3 linked regions of the Macaca mulatta genome follow. The protein of the gene in region 2 interacts with the protein of the main gene of each other region in a pairwise test. Links are inferred from orthologs where the notes say so. Each region holds a gene or a part of one and is shown on either strand. Other genes may lie near its edges.

Region 1 (3,650 bases), on a different chromosome or scaffold from region 2:
CTGCCACCTATCTAATGTTGCTTCAGCTTTATTGTGTCAAAATTATGTATTTAATATATTTATCAGGAAAGTGGCCTATGGGCTCTAGAAATACTGCTCATAGGAATAAAGTGTTTAAGTCAAGAGAAATTAGTCTCACTTTATTACCAGTATAGTGAATACAAACAAGGGCTATGAGCAGAACCAGTTTTAGAATGAATGGCCAAGCCATTAAGTTTCACTTTGAGCTTCTAAGATATTTAAACTCCTTAAAAAGAAAGTGCATAATCCAAATCACTTGCTTAGTAAATTGGTAGAATTTGTCCACAAAAAAGTAGTGGTGGTTTTTCATTTACCTTACAAAGAACTGACCTGCAGGTTAACATTGGCAAGCTATTTTATGTGGCTTTAGATCATATTGAGAGGTTATTTTTGGGGAAATGTGCTTCCCCAAGCTCTAGAAGCTTTATTTTTCCTTCTTTATATTCTCAACACTGTACAAAATAAGGGCAGCTAGATTTTAGCGTGCCAAAACTAAAGGTGGAGCTATAAGCAGAAGGACATAATTAATGGTATTTCATGCTTGATTAGAAAGTAAAAATGTTCATTAGGCATGAACAGAAACGAGTTTGAGAACTTGTTTCAGTTGGTGGAAATGCAGTAATATTGTGAATAAGTTCTTGTGGAAGGATCACTAGCTAGGAACTTACTAACTTATTAGCAGGTGACTTCATATTTCTAACCTCCGTGTCCTTATGAGATCTTGACCTTCCATTTCCCATTCTGATTTAAGTGAAGTAAGGCACTCCTTAGGAGCCACTGGCCATGTGTGGCTCCATTAATTTAAGAAAAAAACAAAACTACAGTTTCTTAGTCTAAAGAAAGCACATGTGATTCGTGGCTACTGTGTTGGATAGAACAGATATGAAACGTTTATCACTGCAGAAAGTTCTGTTGGGCAATGCTAGTATAAAAGGTATGAGAAATTTGGCCTTTAAAACAACCGGTGCTGGCCCAGCAGTAAATGGGCTGTTTTCTACTAAATCAGGAAGAAGTAGAAATTGATACTCTTCTGTGGTAACTCAATAAATGCATCAACTTCCCTGGCCAATCTTGGTTAATGAGAATTTACTGTGCTACAGAATTTTTGGATGAAGTAATTGGTCACGTTGCTCAATACGGTACGAAGTGAAAGCTTCAAAGAATATATTGTGACAGAAATGAATGTTTGGATTATTGTGAAATGTGCCCTTTTAAATAACGTTGGTTTTTCTCAGGTGACTTTGAGGTTAATGTTTCTGCTTACCATATTTCCAAGATGGTCATGTCTATGCCCTTAGGCAAATATTTAATTTCTGACCTGATTTTCTCTCATCTGTGATTACATCACAGTTTGAGGATATTCTGTGTATATAGTAGGTAGTCAACAGATGTACCCTGTGAGGCTCATTTTTTATTATCCTTTCACATTCTTTATAGTGCCTTTAGCACGAATAAGTAAGATTCAACATCAAACAGATTTGTAATGAGAAATACTTTGTTTTAGGCAAAAATGTTGTACATCAGCTCTCAGTAACCCTAGAAGACTTATATAATGGTGCAACAAGAAAACTGGCTCTGCAAAAGAATGTGATTTGTGACAAATGTGAAGGTACGGGTTTTTTTTGTTTTGTTTTTTGTTTTTTTAAACGTCTTTAATATGACACCTGAAAATGGAGCTAAGACTTCCTGGATACGTAAAATTGACTCACGTACACTACGTAGATTTTGGGGGAGGGGAGGGCTGATATAAAGAAAACCGACTGAAAACCTGCCACCTAAAGAAATAACAGCACTATTTTCTGTGTATATTTTAAATATAGGGATCAAGCTAGCTTGGTATCTTTTTTGTAATAAGTAAAATTATTTACTGGAAATGAAGTATGTTCTAATGAGAATAAAACTAATTAAAATGATTTCATCAGTTACATATTCAGAGGGTAGCATTCCATCAGACTTTGAAAATATTAAAAGTACAGCATTTAGGAATTGTCTTCTTAAAACATTTACTACTGTATACACTAATTCATACGTTATTCAATTTTCTTTTTACATTTAGGTAGAGGAGGTAAGAAAGGAGCAGTAGAGTGCTGTCCCAATTGCCGAGGTACTGGAATGCAAATAAGAATTCATCAGATAGGACCTGGAATGGTTCAGCAAATTCAGTCTGTGTGCATGGAGTGCCAGGGCCATGGGGAGCGGATCAGTCCTAAAGATAGATGTAAAAGCTGCAACGGAAGGAAGATAGTTCGAGAGAAGAAGATTCTAGAGGTTCATATTGACAAAGGTGAGTTCTGAGCTACTTATTCTGAAGTCTTGAATGCTGTGGCAGATTTATTATTAACATTTTATAGTTTAAAAAGCATTCTTGGCCGGGCACGGTGGCTCAAGCCTGTAATCCCAGCACTTTGGGAGGCTGAGACGGGCGGATCACGAGGTCAGGAGATCGAGACCATCCTGGCTAACACGGTGAAACCCCGTCTCTACAAAAAAAAATAGAAAAAACTAGCCGGGCGAGGTGGCGGGCGCCTGTAGTCCCAGCTACTGGGGAGGCTGAGGCAGGAGAATGGCATAAACCCGGGAGGCGGAGCTTGCAGTGAGCTGAGATCCGGCCCCTGCACTCCAGCCTGGGCAACAGAGCGAGACTCCATCTCAAAAAAAAAACCATTCTTAGTTAGGTTATATATGATCCTATCACTCAGAAATAGATCTTAGCAGCGTAATATATAATGTTTTTCCATCCAGACATAATTTTGCATATTGGTATATTACTAATAGAAAATAAGGAATCTCCTCATCTAATATAAACAGGATCATTTTTTGAAATCAGTGGTCCTGTAAATGATTGAATAGTGTTCCAAACTTAATTCTCTGCTGTTAAACCATAGTTCTTCCATCTTTTAAAAAATTAGAATGAAGTTATTTGAACACATTCCTAATTAAGAGTTATTAGATCAAGGGATAGGCATATTTTTAAGGATTTGAGAAGGGAGTTAGGTGAAGAATTGGGTCTCATTAAAATTCATGGTTTTTTTTGTTTTTTTCTGAGACAGAGTTTTGCGCTCATTTCCCAGGCTGGAATGTGCAATGGCACGATCTCAGCTCATTGCAACATCTGCCTCCCAGGTTCAAGCAATTCTTCTGCCTCAGTCTACCAAGTAGCTGGGATTACAGGCACCCAGCACCACTCCTGGCTAATGTTTTGTATTTTTAGTAGAGACAGGGTTTCACCATGTTGGCCAGGCTGATCTCGGACACCTGACCTCAGGTGATCACCTGCCTCGGCTTTCCAAAGTGCTAGAATTACAGGCATGAGCTACCACACCCGGCGTCATGTTTATTTTTTAAACTAATGGACATGTTTTCTGTTCTTTGTTTTTTTTCCTGAGATAGAGTCTTGCTCTGTTGCCCAGGCTTGAGTGCAGTGATGCCATCTTGGCTCACTCTAACCTCCCCTCCCAGGTTCAAGCGATTCTCCTACCTCAACCTCCCAGGTAGCTGGGACTACAGGTGTGTGCCACCATACCTGACCTGGACTTGTTTAAATAAACGTATTGGCCCACTTAATTGGCTTACTTGCCCATCTGTTGTATTTAAATGCTCCGTTAATTGATTTGAAAGAATTTAGACTA
Region 2 (4,315 bases):
CTGATCTAAGCCTCAGTTTCCTCATATGTATAACAGCAATAGTACATATTACTAAGGAGTGTTTGAGAAATCAATCAATAAATGTATTCAGAATAGTGCTTAGTCAATAGGTCTTCAGATATTATTTTTCTTTCCTTAAGCACCTATCATACAACTGGCCTATACTAGGTATTAGATACACAGTAGCATATCTAATACGTAGGTTTCACCATGTTGGCCAGGCTGGTCTCAATCTCTTGACCTTGTGATCCACCCACCTCAGCCTCCCAAAGTGCTGGGATTACAGGCATGAGCCACCATGCCCAGCCTATGGCCTGTTCTGTTTTTTTGTTTATTTTTTTGAGATGGAGTCTCGCTCTGGTCGCCCAGGCTGGAGTGCAGTGGTGCCATCTTGGCTCACTGCAAGCTCCACCTCCTGGGTTCATGCCATTCTCCTGCCTCAGCCTCCCAAGTAGCTGGAACTACAGGCGCCCGCCACCACACCAGGCTAATTTTTTGTATTTTTAGTAGAGATGGGGTTTCACCATGTTAGGCAGGATGGTCTCAATCTCCTGACCTCGTGATCCGCCCACCTCGGCCTCCGAAAGTGCTGGGATTACAGGCGTGAGCCACTGCGCCTGGCCTGGCCTGTTCTTTTTTGAGACAGTCTTCCTCTGTCACCCAGGCTGGAGTAAAGTGGTACAATCATGGCTCACTGCAGCCTCGACCTCCTGGGTTCAAGTGATCCTCCCACCTCAGTCTCCCGAATAGCTGGGACTACAGGCATGTAAACCACATCTGGCTAATCTTTTATAGAAATGGTTCTATGTTGCCCAGGCTAGTCTCGACATCCTGGACTCAAGTGATCCTCCTGCCTCAGCCTCCCAAAGTGCTGAGATTACAGGTGTGAGCCACCATGGCCAGCCTAGTACTTACTCTTTATTTATTTTTTTTGAGACAGAGTCTCACTCTGTCACCCAGGCTGGAGTGCAGTGGTGTAATCTCAGCTCACTGCAACCTCTGCCACCCAGGTTCAAGCGATTTTCCTGCCTCAGCCTCCCAAGTAGCTGGGATTACAGGCACCTGCCACCATGCCTGGCTAATTTTTGTATTTTTAGTAGAGACGGGGTTTCACCATCTTGGCCAGACTGGTCTTGAACTCCTGACCTCGTGATTCACCCACCTCGGCCTCCCAAAGTGCTGGGATTACAGGCATGAGCCACACGTCCAGCCCATGAGCCACCACACCTGACCAGTATTTACTCTTTAAACTGTATATTGCTTTGTATTGTTTTCCAATACACAATACAATCCCCAAGCTTATCTGTAAATTTAAGGCACAAGGCATTTATTTATTGTTAAATTTTAAAATTTGTCTTAGAGATGGGGTCTTGCTCTATTGCCCTGGCTAGAGTGCAATGGAGTAATCACTGCTCACTGCAGCCTCAAACTCCTGGGCTCAAGCAATCCTCCCTCCTCAGTCTCCCAAAGTGCTCGGATTACAGGCGTGAGCCACTGCACCCCACCCATTTATTTCTTTTGTTTGTTTGAGACAGAGCCTCGCTCTGTCACCCAGGCTGGAGTGCAGTGGCGTGATCTGGGCTCACTGCAAGCTCTGCCTCCCAGGTTCACGCCATTCTCCTGCCTCAGCCTCCAAAGTAGCTGGGACTACAGGGGCCTGCCACCATGCCTGGCTAATTTTTTGTATTTTTAGTAGAGACAGGGTTTCACCGTGTTAGCCAGGATGGTCTTGATCTCCTGACCTCGTGATCCGCCCACCTCAGCCTCCCAAAGTGCTGAGATTACAGGCGTGAGCCACCGCACCCGGCCATTTATTTCTTCTGTACATATTCCACCTCACCCAGCCCTCAAATATTTCTCAAATTAAAGAGGTTCCAGGGCCCTGGGCACACCCACCCCCAACAGACTTGTTGGAACAGGTACCTACCTCAGGTCATTCTTGAGTTCCACGACCACATCCTTGCCCACAAGGGACTTGAAAAAAGAATAGAAGAGCTATTGGGAGAGAGGGGGAAAACCATCATGTGGGAAGGAACATGGTAGGGAGGAGTGTCCCTTGACAGTATTACCAAATACCGGTATTGTGAACCCCATTGCATCCCTAACAGTTCTCAAAATTTCACAGGAAAGAATAATTGGTTGAGAGGTGAAAGGCTGGAGCCCAAATTATTCTGCACACTGCATTGAGCCCATCACTTAAAGTCCCAGAGAGGCTCTGCCCTGCATACCTCGGCCTCCCCAGTGTGCTCTCTCAATCGACCACCTTTCTCGGGTACCTGCCCACTCCTTTCAATGAATTACAGAAAACATCCCACCCGCACCCTGCCGAAGCTTGCCTGGCAGAGAAGTGCTCTAAGGTCTAACTTTTCCGTCTCCCGCTGTCCCCACTGAATCTCTCTCAGGGTTGGGGTTTTTTTCCTCATCATGGAAAAAAAAAATCCCATTTGCTCTCAGGTGTCTCCTCAACGAACTTGAGGAACAGGACTAACGATGAAGATAAAAACTCCGGACCTAACTCCAGCCTAGGGGGACAAAGGCCAGACCCCCCTGCCCCAACCGTCCGAGATCCCCGAGGGCGACCCCTTTTGACGTCACGGTACCCACCATGGTGCTGGCGCAGCGGGCAGCGGGCCGGAGCGAGAAAAGAGCCGGATGCTGAGACCAGGTCTGGGAGAACCGAAGCGCGAGCCCGCGCGTGGGGCGAGGCGGGACCGCGCAGGCGCAGCGGGAAGGGACGCAGAACCCTCCAAGCGCTGAAGGGTAAAGCGCGGCCGACTTGCGGCTGGGGAGCGCAAGCTGGGTAAAACCGAGGGGAGGAGGAAGCCGGGAAAGGGGCGGGGTTTCCTTCGTTCCGACTTCTTCCAGGGCCGGCCGGCTCCCATTGCGCAGGCGCGGACCCTAGCCTGGGCTGCTAGGCGGGTGGAGGCACTCGGCGTCTGAGCTCAAAAGGTTTTGTTTTCCATAACCCTGCCGTCCACAGCGTGATGTGTTCGTGCCCTCTACACACATCCTATCGAGAATTGTGGGGAGTTTGTGAAGATTATGAAGTGTGCACTTTTCTATATTTGTTAAAGTAAAAACATAAAATTCAAAAAATAAAATTAAAAAATGTTTTTAATCTTAAATTCAGCTGATAAAAAAAAAAAAGGCCGAGGGCGGTGGCTCACGCCTTCAATCCCAGCACTCTGAGAGGCCAAGGTGGATGGATTGTGTGAGGTCAGGAGTTCGAGACCAGGCTAGCCAACATGGTGAAGTCCCGTCTTCACTAAAAATACAAAAAAAATTAGCCAGGCGTGGTCGCGGGCGCCTGTAATCCCAGCTACTCGGGAGGCTGAGGAAGGAGAATTGCGTGAACCCGGGAGGTGGAGGTTGCAGGGAGCCAAGATCATGCCACTGCACTGCAGCCTGGGCGACAGAGCGAGACTCGTCTCAAAAAAAAAAAAAAAATTGGCCGGGCGCGGTGGCTCACGCCTGTAATCCCAGCACTTTGGGAGGCCGAGACGGGCGGATCACGAGGTCAGGAGATCGAGACCATCCTGGCTAACACGGTGAAACCCCGTCTCTACTAAAAAATACAAAAAACTAGCCGGGCGAGGTGGCGGGTGCCTGTAGTCCCAGCTACTCGGGAGGCTGAGGCAGGAGAATGGCGTGAACCCGGGAGGCGGAGCTTGCAGTGAGCTGAGATCCGGCCACCGCACTCCAGCCTGGGTGACAGAGAGAGACTCCGTCTTAAAAAAAAAAAAAAAAAAAAAAATTGACCGGGCGCAGTGGCTGACGCCTATAATCCCGCACTTTGGGAGGCCAAGGCAAATGGATCACCTGAGGTCAGGAGTTCTAGACCAGCCTGGCCAACATGGCGAAATCCTGTCTCTACTAAAAACCCAAAAATTAGCCAGGTGTGGTGGCACGCGCCTGTAAACCCGGGAGGTATAAGTTGCAGTGAGTGGAGATCGTGCCATTGTACTCCAGCCTGGGCAACAACAGTGAAACTCTTGTCTCAAAACAACAACAACAACAAAATGTTGAGGCTTGTAAATCCCAGCATTTTGGGAGGCTGAGGCAGGAGGATCATTTGAACCCAAGAGTTACAGTGAGCTACGATCTCCCCACTGCATTCCAGCCTGGGCAAGACTCTGTCTATAAAAAAGAAAATTATAAAAAACAAAAAAATGTTGAGGAGTCCCAGAGATAAGGAGCTGGAGCACAAATTTTGGTTTTATCAAAGGTTACCAATAAATATATTTCTCCAAAGGAGCCAACCTCAATCTCCATATTTCTTACACACTTTTGCCAAGACTGTCCTGTAAAGGACTGA
Region 3 (3,650 bases), on a different chromosome or scaffold from region 2:
AAATTAGCCAGGCATGGCGGTGGGTGCCTGTAATCCCAGCTACTCAGGAGGTTGAGGCAGGAGAATCGTTTGAACCCGGGAGGCGGAGGTTGCAGTGAGCTGAGATCGCGTCACTGCACTCCAGCCTGGCAACAGAGCAAGACTCCATCTCAAAAAAATAAAAAAAACTGGAGAATTAGTGAAATAAATGTGACCCAGGAAGATACTAATTTCTAGTAAGATAGGAAATCCTGCATATTTTACTAAGAAAGGATTAATCATAATCACATCAATTACAATCAAATAATCATATAGACTCTGTAAGATTATAGAGCACATATTTAAAACACACACCCTAAAACCTACTGAACTGCTTTTTCCTAGTTTAGGACTTACAGCATTTGCATTTTAAACAAGCTTCCCACGTATTTCTAATATGTATCCGTTAGTCTTGAGTTTGAGAACCAGAGACCAATATACTCCCTTAACCTTTCTGGATGAAATTCAGGCTCAGAGAGATGCAAATGACTTGCCTAGCAAGTTAATGACAGAGTTTTTACTTTTTTTTTTTTTTTCAACAGAGTCTCGCTCTGTTGCCCAGACCGGAGTGCAGTGGTGCAATCTCAGCTCACTGCAACCTCCACGTCCTGGGTTTAAGCGATTCTCATGTCTCAGCCTCCCAAGTAGCTGGGATTACTGGCGCCCGCCACCAGGCCCAGCTAATTTTTGTATTTTTAGTAGAGACAGGATTTCACCATGTTGGCCAAGCAGGTCTCCAACTCCTGACTTCAGGTGATCCGCCTGCCTCGGCCTCCCAAAGTGCTGGGATTACAGGTGTGAGCCACTGTGCCCGGCCTAATGACAGAGTTTTCTTATTCAATGTGCTTTTGCCCTTTATTATTAAACACTATTTCCTAAGCCTTTCTCTTGATATGTACCTTTCCCACCTCCAATGCCCGTCACTATTTAGGGCCATTTCACACCAGCATTTGGAGCTGACTGGCAAGAGTACCTCTAAGGTTTTGCATTTCTGGAAATCAATGAATGCTTTAAACTAAACATGACACATGATATTCTTAGTTATAAAATCATAGTTGCATTTACTTAGATGAAAAGCAAATTTTGTATCTAATGCCTTATTAGGAAGTCTTACTACACTACTACACCCCAGGGTTAACAGCCTTTTACTTTTCCTAATCCTCTTTTTCAGACTTCACTAGATTTTTAAATGTCTTTGAACCTTTTCCAACGGCAAGAATTGGAAATCTTATAACAAAAATATTTTCAGATAGCTGAATCAGTCATTACCACTTAATGAGGCAGGGCTTGCCAAAAGTCCTAAGAATTACTAAATAGTGTCACAACTGAATATAAATGATCATATTATTATATCTGGAACCATATTAAAATCCCAATTTGAAAGAGCAATAGTCTTATAGGTAAATAAATGGGATTGTCTCTTACACACTGCTTCAAAGAAAAGCAACCCATTATTTTAAACATGAACATCTTCACTAGATTTTTACAAGTCTTTGCAATTATCCCAAAGCAAAACTTGAAAATCTTTATATCCTACAGTTTCTCAACCTTGGCACCACTGACATTTGGATGGAATAATTCTTTGTTGTGGGGGACCATCTGCGCATAGCAGAATATTTAGTACAATAATAGCACCCTTGGCATCTAACTGCTAGATGCCAATAATATCCTTCCTCTTTCAACCAAAATGTCACTGCCAAATGTGGGGGAATGGTGAGGCTGGTGGAGGTCTATGAAAAATATATTCCCCCTACACCCACTGATAACCACTATTGTAACAAAACAGAACAGTTCTATCTTAAATTCTCAGAAGCACAGGGTATACTGATCCAAGTCTCTAAGGGTGCCTTTTAAAAAGAGAAAGGCAGAATAAACAGTGAAACTTTAGAGGAAAGTTAGAAATACATATCCATAATAAATGAAGAATTCTAAGTGTAAATATATAGAAATATATACAGACACACACAAACGTCCATTATGAAAACTTCAACTGTCCAAGTTGCTGTGCTGAAATTTTGCTTAATAAACTACTATCCAAAATGAGTCAATGGCCTCAATGTTACATTGATTATTATCAAACACTCTTTTTTAAAATATAATTTGCTATCAAAGGAGGCATTAGATTAAATTACACCATACATACCTTCAAATTTGGCATTCACCATAACATACAAATGCTCTCCTAGACAGTCACTTCGGTCCCTGGATAATGCATGTAAACTAATAGTGGGGTATTCCAGTGAGAATCCTAATCCAGAACCATCTAACCAAGACAGGCGGCTGAAAAACATGTTTTAAGTAGATTAGTTTTAGAAAGTAAATCCTAATGTAATATCACAAAGTACATAAAAGTTCAGCTTGGACACCTTTATGCATATAAATAAATTCAAGCTTACTTTTTTAGAAATGTTCATAAAATAAGAAAATTCAGGCCAGGCGCGGTGGCTCAAGCCTGTAATCCCAGCACTTTGGGAGGCCAAGACGGGCGGATCACGAGGTTAGGAGATCGAGACCATCCTGGCTAACATGGTGAAACCCCGTCTCTACTAAAAAATACAAAAAACTAGCCGGGCGAGGTGGCCGGCGCCTGTAGTCCCAGCTACTCGGGAGGCTGAGGCAGGAGAATGGTGTGAACCCGGGAGGCAGAGCTTGCAGGAAGCTGAGATCCGGCCACTGCACTCCAGCCTGGGTGACAGAGTGAGACTCCGTCTCAAAAAAAAAAAAAAAAAAAAAAAGAAAATTCAGTAGTGGAAATCGAATTTTCTTTAAGATCAATTCTGTTAAAGTCTCTTTCCCTCTAGCTATAAATTCAAACAGACTTGAAATTCCATTTTCCTCAGTCACATGTATGTTTCTATGACTTTCAAGCTTCTTCTTTTTTGATATGTCTTCAAATACCCTCTTTGCTTTTGCAAATCCTCCCCTCTTCCATGAGGCCTCCCTTCAACTACACCAGTCCATAAAGACCTCTTCTTTTTCTGATTTGCAAATTTTAGTACTTAACTCTGTGGTAGTGAGTCTTATATGTGCCCTTATGGAATATGAGCTATTTGACAGCAGGACTCGTCACATTCCTTTATTTAACATTCTTCAAAACCATTAACAAAGAGCTCAGGAGGTAAGTATGCAATAAATCCTTGGTAATCATTCGTTTCTCCATGAATCCTACACTAAAAGACATAAATGGGTGTCATCACACTCACCGCAACTCAGGGAATATTTATTACCTTGAGAGACAGACTCCCTGAAGCCTCTCATTTATTCAACATCTTTAAGAGAAAGCCACAGAAAAGCTAGGCCTAGTTTTCCCTCAAATGTGGTCAAATGCAAATATTTTATTGGTGTACCAAAGGAAGCACATCACCAAAATCAGTATGTTGAGCTTTCAGTAGAGGCTAACTAATTTTCTGATAATATTTCATCCATCTGTACCACTTAGCAGAAAAAAAGTAAAAAATCCTGAAGAAGCTAAAAAAAAAAATGTTAATGCAATACAGTGGTTGCCTAGGGCTAGAAGGAAATAGGAATGTCTGCTAATGGGTACCAGGTTCTTTTTGGGGTGAAGAAAATATTCTAAAATTGTGGTGATAATTGCACGATACTGTAAACAGACTAAAAACTACTGAATTGTA

The links.
Region 1: the proteins of LSM2 (region 2) and DNAJA1 interact in a two-hybrid assay, tested with the Homo sapiens proteins (2 studies listed by BioGRID and IntAct). The link is inferred for Macaca mulatta from reciprocal best matches to the Homo sapiens genes LSM2 and DNAJA1.
Region 3: the proteins of LSM2 (region 2) and CLNS1A interact in binary tests that used the Homo sapiens proteins (3 or more experiments, as listed by UniProt). The link is inferred for Macaca mulatta from reciprocal best matches to the Homo sapiens genes LSM2 and CLNS1A.

What each region holds. Positions count from the first base shown.
Region 1 is NC_133420.1:66,342,869-66,346,518, reverse strand, and holds part of DNAJA1 (dnaJ homolog subfamily A member 1), read left to right. Parts: intron 1-1,497; coding exon 1,498-1,630; coding exon of another isoform or gene 1,631-1,636; intron 1,637-2,077; coding exon 2,078-2,305; intron 2,306-3,650.
Region 2 is NC_133409.1:150,509,167-150,513,481, reverse strand, and holds the start of LSM2 (U6 snRNA-associated Sm-like protein LSm2), read right to left. Parts: upstream 2,818-4,315; 5' UTR 2,608-2,817; coding exon 2,605-2,607; intron 1,996-2,604; coding exon 1,928-1,995; intron 1-1,927. UniProt on the Homo sapiens protein: Plays a role in pre-mRNA splicing as component of the U4/U6-U5 tri-snRNP complex that is involved in spliceosome assembly, and as component of the precatalytic spliceosome (spliceosome B complex).
Region 3 is NC_133419.1:78,053,767-78,057,416, forward strand, and holds part of CLNS1A (methylosome subunit pICln), read right to left. Parts: intron 2,299-3,650; coding exon 2,162-2,298; intron 1-2,161. UniProt on the Homo sapiens protein: Involved in both the assembly of spliceosomal snRNPs and the methylation of Sm proteins.